Sus scrofa: one gene and its partner. The protein of the gene in region 2 purifies or fractionates together with the protein of the main gene of each other region. This does not show direct contact. Links are inferred from orthologs where the notes say so. Each region holds a gene or a part of one and is shown on either strand. Other genes may lie near its edges.

The links. Proteins that work in one complex are often made in the same cells at the same time.
Region 1: the proteins of CCNY (region 2) and CDK14 purify together in Homo sapiens (affinity purification with western blotting; 3 studies listed by BioGRID and IntAct, with this or other methods). This does not show direct contact. The link is inferred for Sus scrofa from reciprocal best matches to the Homo sapiens genes CCNY and CDK14.

What each region holds. Positions count from the first base shown.
Region 1 is NC_010451.4:71,204,729-71,210,315, forward strand, and holds part of CDK14 (cyclin-dependent kinase 14), read left to right. Parts: intron 1-2,762; coding exon 2,763-2,902; intron 2,903-5,587. UniProt on the Homo sapiens protein: Serine/threonine-protein kinase involved in the control of the eukaryotic cell cycle, whose activity is controlled by an associated cyclin.
Region 2 is NC_010452.4:58,018,608-58,024,896, forward strand, and holds the start of CCNY (cyclin-Y), read left to right. Parts: upstream 1-2,616; coding exon 2,617-2,683; intron 2,684-6,289. UniProt on the Homo sapiens protein: Positive regulatory subunit of the cyclin-dependent kinases CDK14/PFTK1 and CDK16.

The DNA.
Region 1 (5,587 bases), on a different chromosome or scaffold from region 2:
TGTGCTTGTCTTATGTAGGACATATGGAATATGCCCTTTAGCTTAGTCAATATTTTTTTAAGGTAGACATGATTTGTTGTTGTAGCTAACATAATTCTGAATCTTAAAATTTCTGAAAATCCTCTGATTTTGTTCCTATTTTTATTGGAAGTTGTTTGCCAACCATTGCTGTTAGCAGTGTGAATTTTTGCCTTCTCTGCCAATCTTCCTTACAAAAAGAAAAGTTAGGTTTTGCTAGTGAATTAAGCAAACATGTAATATTTTATATTCCTGTTGAGGTGTATAACTTAATTTTTGTATACTTGATAATTTGTCTTGTGATGTACTTGGTAAAATGGTGCTGTGTACTGATGTTAGTTCAGTCACGTATTTATATGATCTAGAATGTATGGTTATAGGTTTTTGGGAGAAATAATGTGTCACTGTACATCAGCTTGTAAAAACTTAGAGTTTATACATCTAAATAAATATGGAAATATAAAAAAAGAAAGAAAAAAGTGTAATCAGTAAGCAGATGGAAATAAAATGCATAAAATGCATAACTTCTAAAATAGAAGATGGAAAATATTTTAAGACTCAATCCAAAAGAGGGCAGGAAAAGAGTAAAAAGGAAAAGCAGAACAAAATAGGATACGACATTAAGATGATAATAGTAGTTCCAAATATATCGGTAATCATGAAATATAAAAGGGACTAAATTTTTTACCTTAGAAGATGGGGGTTGTTTGATAAACATTAGACCCAGCTATGTAATATTTATGAGACACCTTAAAATTGAATATGGAATAGTAAAAGTAAGAGAATGACAAAAGGTAGGACAGGCAAATACTAAACAAAAGAAAGACGATGTCATTAAATTAATAAGGGGGGAAAAAAAGGACTTTAGCCCAGAAAGCTATTTATTAAAGATAGAGATGGTCACCACAGAAGGATTAAAGACTGAATTTACCAGGAAGATACAACAATGCTAGACTGTTAAGCATTTAATTACCCAAATTTACAACATAGAAAACAGAACTTGGTGAAGTCGCAGGGAAAGACTGTCTATAAACTGAAAGCACAAGGAGTTCCCATTGTGGCTCAGTGGGTTAAGAACACGACTAGTATCTATGAGGACGTGGGTATGATCCTTGGCCTCTCTCAGTGGCTTAAGGATCTGTTGTCGCCGTGAGCTGTGGTATAGGTCACAGATGTGGCTCGGATCTGTGGCTGTGGCGTAGGCCGGCGGCTACAGCTCCAATTAGACCCACAGTCTGGCAACCTCCATATGCCAGCAGTACGGCCCTAAAAGGGACAGAAGACAAAAAACAAACAAACAAACAAAAACAACCATTGCAGCAGCCAAACACTGAGCCCATCTGTGAGACCTTCACCTATGAAGATTTAGAGAGAAAGTCTCTTAGGTTGGGGTCTTTAATGTTTTTCTTGGCTCTTCTCCCTTTTTCTTCCTCTACCCAAGTCCATGACCCTTTTTCTCCCCCACCCACCCCCCAACCCTACATCCTGACCCATAACAATTTAAAATCAGTATTAAAGAGCTGCTTCAGAAGGACAAGGAAGAGAATTGTTGGTCATTGAAGAAAGATGTTTATTGGCTAATGGCATGTTTTGTAGGCTTTTGAAAGAATCTCCACTAGCAGATGTAACTTTTCTCCACATTCTTCTGGCTGCCTTAGAGTCCCTGTACTTACTGCATCTTGTTGCAGAAACTCAGGAATCTGCGCATAAAAGCCTTTAGAAATGATCGGAGAACTTGGCAAATGCAAACTACATTAGAGTTAGCTAGTTCTGACTGGGTTTCAATCCACTCAACCTGCTAACTGAGCAACCCACCACCTTCTCGGACTTCCGCTTAGCTCCACTGCTACTAGATGGAAACAGAGTTACTGGGTGGAGTAATAAATATGACAGTACATGAGAAGTGCCTAGGAACGAGCTTGAACCACGTTCAACTGTTCATATATGGGAGTCGCTATTAGGAAGACTTTAATTATTGTTTTTATGTTAATTATCTGGGTTTGATTGCCCTGAGAAATGAAATGGAGATTCCGTGAAAAACAAGCCTGGGCTGGACAGTGTGGTCTGCTACCCATTTGAAAGCTGGTACCACATGGAAGATTTTACTCCTCTGCTTTTTTGGTGATCTTGAGACATAGTTTCTGTCTGCTGTTGTTTTTAAGGTCATCTTGAATTGATTCAGTCCCATGTGGTTTAAGCTTATTCCCTTTGTTAACCTGCATGTTAATGTTACAATTGTTGAAAGGGTACTTATCCCAATAATTTTATATTCAATGTAAGAAAATGTAAATTCTTAGAGGGAAGGTAACTTTAGTAACTAGAGAATTTGATAGCAGATTTATTTTAATTCTCCTGATTATTTTGTATTAATTTTCCTATAAATGTATCCAGATGTGTATGCGGTCCCTAGATTCTATGAAAAAATTCTGGCAACTATTTGATAAATTATCTTCTGAAATTTTTTACCTTGGGACCTAATTTTATCCTGAAAATACCAACCCTTTGCTTATAGTAGAAGTATGTTAAATCAATAAGACTAGGATATCAAGAATAAAAGCCAGCCAATTTAGAGTAACAAATACTCTAAGAACTAATGTGAATTCTGCTCTTTATTTTCAACAGGCAATTTGACTTGTTTTCTTGACCAGGAATAAATAAGTCCAGAAAAATTAGGTGAGGCTTATGTCTTACTAGTGAATTTTCTTGTGTGTTCTGATTTCTCTCTTTTTTGCTTGTGTTTTCAGGCTCAGCTATGTGAATCATGCAGAGGATCTGGCCTCCAAGCTCCTACAGTGTTCCCCAAAGAACAGACTATCAGCCCAGGCTGCCTTGAGCCACGAGTATTTTAGTGACCTGCCCCCACGGCTATGGGAACTGACTGATAGTGAGTATGACAATTCGAAACATCCAGTTGAAGCAGGGACATGGTTTTAGCATGTATGTATGGCACACAGGTAGAGAGACTCACATGTTTATATGTGCATCTGTAATATGTATATTTGTAAGTGAATTGTGTGTGTGTGTGTGTGTACATGCATGTATATATGAGAGGGAGAGAGGGAGGGAAAAAGAATGAGGGGAGAGGGTAGAAAGTGTATATATTTAGTGGAATCCTGCCATTCAATTGCTAGCTTACCAGACACAGGAAGAAAATGGATTCCTTTTTTTGCTATCTCTGCTCTGCAGTCAGCAGCTGCGTGTCTTTGTATTTGATTATGTGTGTGTCCAAAAAAAAAAAAAAAAAAAATGATCTGAGCAGTCATAAAGGAGAAGGAATATATGATTTACATATTTAGTGCTTTATGCATACCGTACTTTTTAACTGGCTGCAGTACACATAGTAGAAATGATTCATTTCTGTTTGATTCTCAGAGACCATCTTGGTTGTTATAACAATAACCTTAAAAAGGGCTGCTATGCAGTGAGCTGACGAACAGAGTTGGCGGTTGGTTAATGCACTGAATTGACATGTAAGAACTGAAGACATGTAATTCATTTTAACTAGAAACGCTCTCGGTATTCATACAGAGCTCTTCTCTGGATCTTTTAAAACAAAACACATTCCTGGGTGGGTTTTTGTTTTGTTTTTACAAAAGCGTTCGTATTTACACAGCCTTTTCCAATTAGATTTTAAATATCTGGGGGAGGATTTATGGCTGGGAGGATCTCATCTTTCTTCCAAAGTGTGAAACAAAATTCTTGTGAAATTTTGCTGAACACTATTGCAATAAGAATGTTTTTCTTTGACGGTAATACGTTCTTTCCAATGCTAATTAGAGGTATTTCTTCTCATACCCTTTTTTGTTCTAAAAATTAATATACTGCATATATGGATAGATATTGATAATGTCATTATTAATCCTTGCGTATACATCACTTACCATAGACATACATAGAAGTTACTTCTTTAATCTCTTGGTCTTTAGACTTTCTCCCCCCCATGATAGCTTTGGAGGCTCCTCAGTGACAGTAACCTTTTCTTTTGGAATTGAGTCCCAAGTAACAATGCTTAAGTATTTCTACCCTAAATCTTTTCTGATATCCCAGGTTTAATTGTCATTACTTTTTTTTTAACTCTAGAGTGACTATAGCTATATTAACCCACTACTCCACCGTGCTTCAAAAATCCTCACTATTTCATAACATCTTTATTCCATATTCTACCCTCCTTCCTTTCTAGAAGTCTACCCCCTGACCACTACTACAGCTGTTCCCACTTTTTAAAAAATTTAGAGACAAAAATCCCTGTAGAAAAATAAGCTATTGGTGACATACCTTCCCATATAAAAAAAAAATGATGCAAATGGATGCATTAGTTTATGACTCATCAAACTCAAACGTATGGTTTGTTTTTGCATTTAGTATAACTTGTAACTGGATATCACTGCTCCTTGGTGACATCTCAATCCCATCTGACTTGATGATTGAGTTTAAGCCAGGATTCTGATGGTCTATGAATTCTGAATTCTGTAGTAGTACTTTTCTGTTAATATGGACTTATTACCCACTTGCCACTTAGTTTATCAGCCAGTGGTTAAATCCAGTTTCTATCAGTAAGTAAATGCCTACACATTATCACTCGGCAGCAGGCTGCCAGCGGAGACAGCCTTGTCCCCGTCATTAACAAGCACAATGTATGCAGAACACCAGAGGGGAATTAAAACCACAAAAAATACCTCAGGGTGGTATTTTTAATATGAGAATTTAATTTGTAATTTCACAGATTAAGAATTTTGGCTGCATTAATCCCTTTATCAGCTCACAGCAGGCTATTTGCAGAAGCATAACCATAAGGCGATATTCATTGGCAGAAACACGTCTTTGCATAACGTTAAACATCAGGAGCAGTGAAACCTTTTGAAGGGGGGAGAATAAAGATGAAAAATCATTATATTTTTCAAGCAAGAATCTGCTAAATGCCTCCGGTAACAATTTTGAGTTACAGAAATGCTATTTCTGTGTCTAGTAGATAATCATTATGAAGCATAAATCCAGGCGCAAGAAAGGACAATCCCAGTATTAAATACCACAGTCATTTCCATTTCGAACAACGTGGTCGTCCTTGTAAACATGTTGACAAAACAAAGAATTCCTAAGCTTTGGAGACTTTGGGAACTAGTTCTTTTAGTTTTGAGGTGACTGGTTTGGGTGACTCTCTTATTGAGGTTAATATTCCGCAGACTAGATTTAGGCATTCTTAAAATTAAATTTTACGTGTGGAGTCTCATAAAAGTTTACCACCTGGCAAACAGCAGCAGCAGCAGCAGTGGCGGCGGTGCCAGGATCCTCATACTCTTCCTTTTCCAGGAGATTTGGAAGGGGGTCCATCTGAAAAGAAGTGTTGCCGAATCAATAAATGGATTGTCTTAGCAACCAAGTCATGGTTTAGATTTATCAGTTTCAGGAACCTCACATTAATACCTAGTCTGCTCAGGCTGCAATAGCAAAATACCGTAGACTGGGGCTTAAAAAAACCCCCACACATTTATTTCTCCTGGTTCTGAAGGCTGGGAAGTCCAAGATCAAGGCGCAGCAAATTCAGAGTTCCTGATGAAAGAGCCACCTTCCT
Region 2 (6,289 bases):
CCTGTCACCCATGCAGGAAACCACCTGGGCGTAAGCGAGTGTTCTGATCAGGCCGGGCCCTGTGACCTGGCTGGAAAGGAGCCCGCTTGGTACGGGGAGCCCTGCGCTCAGTCCCCATGGAGAGGAGCCGTTATCCTCCCCGCTGCCCTGTGGCCCCCTTTACACCAGGCAGGGCCCACTGGCAGGACGAGGGTGGGGACATTCATCGTGGTGGCTGCGTGCCAGTCTCCCGACCTCTGGGAGAGCTTCTGGGAACACCAGCCTGTGCTGAAGAGAGTCCAGCTACCCAGAGGGTAATAAAGGCTCAAATCATTTCAGAAGTTTAAAAAGCAAACTAACAACAGTATGCACAAGGCAGAGAATTTAGGAGACACAGGGAAGCAAAACAAAACATTGCTCAGTTGCATTATTCAGAGGTAACCCAATATTGGTATCTGTTCTTTTTTTGTACCTTCTGTGCCTACCTGTACTTTCCCCCAAAATGCCATCTCACTGCTTCCTTCACCTCATGACATGGTGTGTCTGTTTCCCTGCGAATGAAGTGTTCTCCACGTGGTTTTTGAGGGGGGCATCGCATGTGCTGGCGTTTGCTCTCACAGAAGAAGCCCCTCAGGATCTGTGACGGTCCCTTCTGAGCAGTTTGGGGGCGCAGCGTCCTAATCTCCGGTACCGGGGCTGCTGCGTGGGTAGCGGGCACTCTTCACAGCGGGATCACAGTGCCCCGAGGAACGAGGAACAGGAACGAGGAACGGCAGCCTTGGGTTATTTTGGTTCCACTTTTGGCTCCAATCAGAAGAACTTGACACTTTTTGCTTATATTGTTCTGCAAACCCCTACTGATGATTTGAATAATAAAGCGGGTCTGAAAGAAGACAAGTCGGGGGTGTTAGGGGAACAAAAGTAAGGATGTGTGGAGCTGACCACAGACGGCAGAGATTTAACCTTTGAATAGCAAGATCCTAGTTGAGCAGGAAACCCTGCTCTTTTTCACCAGAAACTTCTGGCCTGACTTTAGCTGGTTCAAATGGAAGCAAGTTTGAACCATTGAGTATTTCTTTTTTCTCTCTTTCTGCTTCCATCAAACTCCCTTAATGCCTTCAACCACTGCCTCTAACTTGAATGCTTGTAACAGAAGAAGGACCAGATAGTTGAACTAGCATTTAAGGTTTAGTAGATGTTTCTTTCATCCCACCCCCAAGAGGTCAGCAGCTGTCTTCCAGTGAGCCGCTGAGCCACCATCGTGCAGGCCGTAGGAAGAGGTGAGGCCTCTGAGTCTGCGACAGCCCTCAGGTGTTGCCTCCAGGGAGCATGTGACCATCTTGTGTTTTCTTTCCTTTTGTCTTTAACCCGGATAGAGGAGTTCCCTAGTGGCTCAGTGGGTTAGGGATCTGGCACTGTCACTGGTGTGCTCTAGTCACTGATGTGGCGTGGGTTTGATCCATAGCCCGGGAATTTCTGCATCCCCACCCCCCCAGCCCCGGAAAAAAAAGAAGGAAAAAACAAACAAACCAAGGATAGATACCATCTGTTTTTATTGGTGTTGATTAGATGTATTTGCAACTTTTTCGAGATACTGGAACGCAAAATACTTCATTCTGATGCTGGGAGCTGATTTGAAGGTCATTCTGACTATTAATTTTGAGCTTATATCTTCCTTCTTCTAATTTATTTTGTTTTGTTTAACCATTCTTTCCAATGGAATTTTTTTTTTTAATTAGAAAAACTCTTCTACGGTGGTTCTGATTGTTTAGAGCCTGTAGCCCTTGGAGGCTGTTCTAAGGCAGGATCACAAAGCCACATGCCAGTGGGGGAGGAAGGGGTGGGTCCTGAGGAGGTGCCCCCAGGAGTGTCAGGATAGGGAGCAGAGGTGAGGACTGGGCATGGGGTCTTAGGTCCCACAAGTTGTGACCCTTGGGGTGGAGCCTGGTGTTACCATATAATCTGGTTTCTCAAGAGAAGCTGGAGATAGAGATTTTGCACGTTGTGATAAGTGTTTGAAATGTGAAAATCATTATATATTAGCTTAAACTTTTACAAAAGGAAAGACTGTGTGGATCAGACAAATCACATCCATGGTCCAGATTATGCCCACAGATGGCCAGTTTGAGTCTTTGTTCTAAAGGATTAATTTTTGCCTTTTCAGAAAAGAACAGTCGTCATTAAGCAGAGTGTGTGGATGCCGATTTGGCTGAGATATCTTATTTTAATCACCTTTAACAAGCAAATACCGCTCACATATCTGTAGATTTAGATGAGTCAGTTGTAACACATAACTCTCCTCAATTACCTGTTAGAACTTTGTCCTGCTGTTGTGTAGTTTCTTGGGTGCAGAGCAGACTTGTAAAAAGAAAATGGAGTTTTCAGCTAATGGATCTCCAGCCGAGTGTGTGACTTTTTTTTTTTTTTTTTAAATGTATGATTTTCTCAAGTTTCTAAATAGCAGTGTTCTCAGTTGAATCTAGAACAATCTATTAACACGATAACTATTGGATTTTTCCAGGATCCTTGAATGTATTGGCAATTGAAGGTTGAAAAAATTGAAAATCTTGACTCCCTTTAGTTACTAGATGGATATTCATATATTTTCTTTTTCCTTCTTTTTTTAAAGATTTGAACATGGAATTCAATCCTTCAGACCATCCTCGGGCCAGCACAATATTCCTCAGTAAATCGCAGACGGATGGTGGGTAACTAATGTATTTGTCTGTCTGTCTGTCTGTCTGTCTCCCTCTCTCCCCCCCACCCCCTCCCTTCCTTATGTTGATAGTAGCCTCAGTCTTGACTTTCCACCAGACTCAGGAGAAAAACAGAATCCCCTCACTGACCCCGGAAGGTATTATTGATAGTGATTTCCTTGCGGTTTCTTTATTTTGTAGCAAGTTATAAAATTTACTGTTTGAGGCAACTGTCCTTATTTTGCCAATGAGCTGGATTAGTTCTAGGTAGTTTCTAACCTGAGAGTCAGAAATTTTCCTTTAAAGAGTTGGTATTTGTATAAATTCTCTCAAATCAAAAGTATTAGGTAGTATGTAAAAGAAATCAAAATAGAACCCTTACTAAAAGCACCGTCCTCTCCGTTGTGTCATCTGAGCGCTGAGTTGAACCTGTGCACCAGGGGTAGATGTTTTCTTTCTGCCAGGCCTCTGCTAACCGGGTTTCTCCGCAGCCTTTGTGGTCCCACGAGTGTGGACTTTCTCCTGCGGGTTTTTCCCTCTTCAGCCCTTGGCTTGCACCGCTGTCCCCTGGCCTGAGACCGCAAAGGAGAGAGAAGACACACAGTGAACGGTGACGCAGTCTGTTCTGTTACAGTGCTGCAGCGTTGCAGGATTCTGGCCCTGCCTCTTTTAGCAAATTGCTAAGCTCTGATTTTGCGAAGTTCATAAATGGACCAGAAGATAAACATGTCTAAGACAGTAGTTCATGTAATAAGAACTGATAACCCAGTTTATGGTTAGGAAACGACTTTGACCTGGTGTCATGCTGATGAATATTGGTGAGCTTTAATCAAGCAGGCCACTGATTTGATTGGAAAGAATGTGGCGCATTTATTTAAAAAAAAAAAAAAGTGTTTCCAAGGATAAGAATAAATTATCGCTGGCATCAAGTACTTGAATGTATTGGGCGAAAGCAAAACGTTTTTTTCGTGCCCTGGGCTGGTCGGTGGGAGGCGGTTGGGAGGGTAGGATGTGGCCGGGGCAGGAGAGCAGCAGCAGAGGGTTTGGGACAATGAAGAGTGAGAACCAAAAGCAGTTGTTTTACGCCTGATGACAGTGCTGTGAAAACAAGTTACATGTTTGGCATACTTGCAGATTTGGTTCCTGCTTCCTGCGAATTCAGGGCACAGGGCAACATCTGTCAGAAAATGTTCTAGCTGGATTGGCACGGAATTGCATCAGGGCCTCTAACTGGATGATGCGTATCTTGCTCGTCATGGGGAGGGGGTGTCGGATTCTCGGCCCTAACAGGAGCTCTGGGCCGGCGTCAGGGTCGCATACCTTCCCCTCTGCTCCACGCTCTTCTGTCCAGATTTTCAGCATCAGTGACTCTGATCCTTCTGGTTTTTTGCTTATTTCTCCTTTAAACGCTGAGTCTTTCTGTTCAGTGTAAACCTGCTTGAGTCGTTCCGGTTAAAAGCAAGAAAGGGCGGAACAGCCGACCCCGTCTCCGGTTCTGCTGAGGGGGAGCTCCTGTACCGTCTCCTCCTCTTGTCATTTGCTGTCCCCCCGGGCTCTTCCTCCCGCCACCTCTGTTTCGTGACACGGCCTCTGGTGGCTCCCGCTCTCATGTGGCACTGGCTCCTTGAAACGCCTGTTTTGGCTTCCTGTCTTCACAAAGGCTCGTTTGCTGGAAACCAGTCCAATTAATTAAGGGGTTGCTCTATGGATAATTAAGTAGGTTTTTAAAATAGGTAAATCTAGTGACCGTAATGAGTCAATTCTTTGGTGAAGTGATTACAGGGAATTGGCTCTTTGGGAACGGCTCTTTCCTTAACGTGCCTCTCGGACATGTCAGTTTCTCCGTGTGTGCCTTGGTCTTTTTGAGGGTTCTGTGCTTTACCCCCTTACCTTTTTGGTCCGCATCTCATGCCTCCCAGTTTCCAAGCCTTCTGTAATGTGCAGCTGGATTTTGCTCTGCAGTGTTCTCAACCCCTCTATCCTGCTGGCTGCTGGACATCTGTTGCTTCCTCTGAACTCAGTGTGGCCTAGACAGAACTTAGTACCCGGGCTTCACCTCCTGCCGTCCTGCCCTGTCCTCTCCCGGGGCCTCTCCCCTGCGGTCCCCTCCCGCCTCAGCTCTGAGCTGCTCCAGTCCTGCAAGGCTCATCCCCACCCCTGTCTGTGTGCCCTGCTCCCCGTCCAGGCCAGCCCATGTTGGCCCCGGAGGATACGTGTTCCCCGATCCCCCACCCTTCTGCCTTCCCACCCACACGTTTCCCCAACTGGAACATCTCTGAGATCGACAGGCAGTGTGGCTTGTCACTATCAATCAGCAGTATTTTTGTCTTTTGTTTTTTGACGGTCGCACCGGAGGCATATGGAGGTTCCCAGGCTAGGTGTCCAATCAGAGCTACAGATGCTGGCCTACGCCAGAGCCACAGCAACGCCAGATCCAAGCCATGTCTGCAGCCTACACCACAGCTCACAGCAACACCAGATCCTTAACCCATTGAGCGGGGCCAGGGGTCAAACCCGCATCCTCATGGTTCCTAGTCGGATTCATTTCTGCTGCGCCACGACGGGAACTCCAGTGGTATTTTTTTCTTAATGGCAGATAGAAAAAAGATGTACTGTAACACCAGTGGCACTAAAGTCAATGCAATTTGCATGTTTGTCTATGTGAAGGTGAATTTTTTGTTTGTTTGTTTGGTTTGTAAATGAACCAGTGGGTCTATTGACCCACCAAATTCCATCTTGCTGTAGGATAAGGACTGTGCCGAGCACAGAGACTAGCCTGCAGGAGAAACTTGAAAAGACCGATGGATGAATGAGGTCATGAGAGAGTGGAGGCAGGGAGCATGGTCCAGCCTGGGGCAGGCCGAGGCCCTGTGGCACTCTCCCCAATGAGAGGCTTTCTCTTCTGGTCTGAGACATTACTTTCATCCTTAAAAAGGGACGCATCCATTATTTGGGCACAGGGGTGTAGGTCTTGTAGGGCCAGGGAATGTACTGGGCCTTCCCTACACTGCAGGTGCTTCCCTGGTCTGAACCCGAGGCGCTGGTCCTGCCCGCGGACAGCTCTCCCACCTCTGCTGCCATGTCTTAAGCTGCACGAGGTGGGGTGGGTGCAGGGTCTCTTGGCCGTGCTCAGCCCCCTAAGTTAAATGGATAACGGAGGGCTTTGGTGGCCCTTGTGCCCCACTTTTCTCGGCAGCATCACCTGGTCCAGTGTCTGATCTCTTGGGCCTCCCGTGTGGAGAAGGCTGCCTGTGGAGAACACACTCAGCTGGTCAGACAGACCCAGAATGTCAGTTCTGCTCAGTCTGCCCTTTCTGTATCCTCTCTCCTGACCTGTGCTTCCTCCAGATTTGTCCGTCGTCAGAAAGTTGCTCAGTGGGTGCAGTCCCGAGCAAAGGCTCAGGTGTGCTACACCTGGCGGCGGGTGGGGCCTGCGGCCCCGCCTCCTCCGCTGCACTTGCTGCTCGGCAGCGCCCCCTGCTGGCTGTGGGCACAAGAAACTCTAACCGTGGAACTGTCCTAAGTTAGTCCCCCTTCAGGAGCCACCTTTTCCCTCTTTCCCCAGCTTCCTATGTTTATACCAGCCTCATGCAGTTGATATTTTGGGTCAGCTG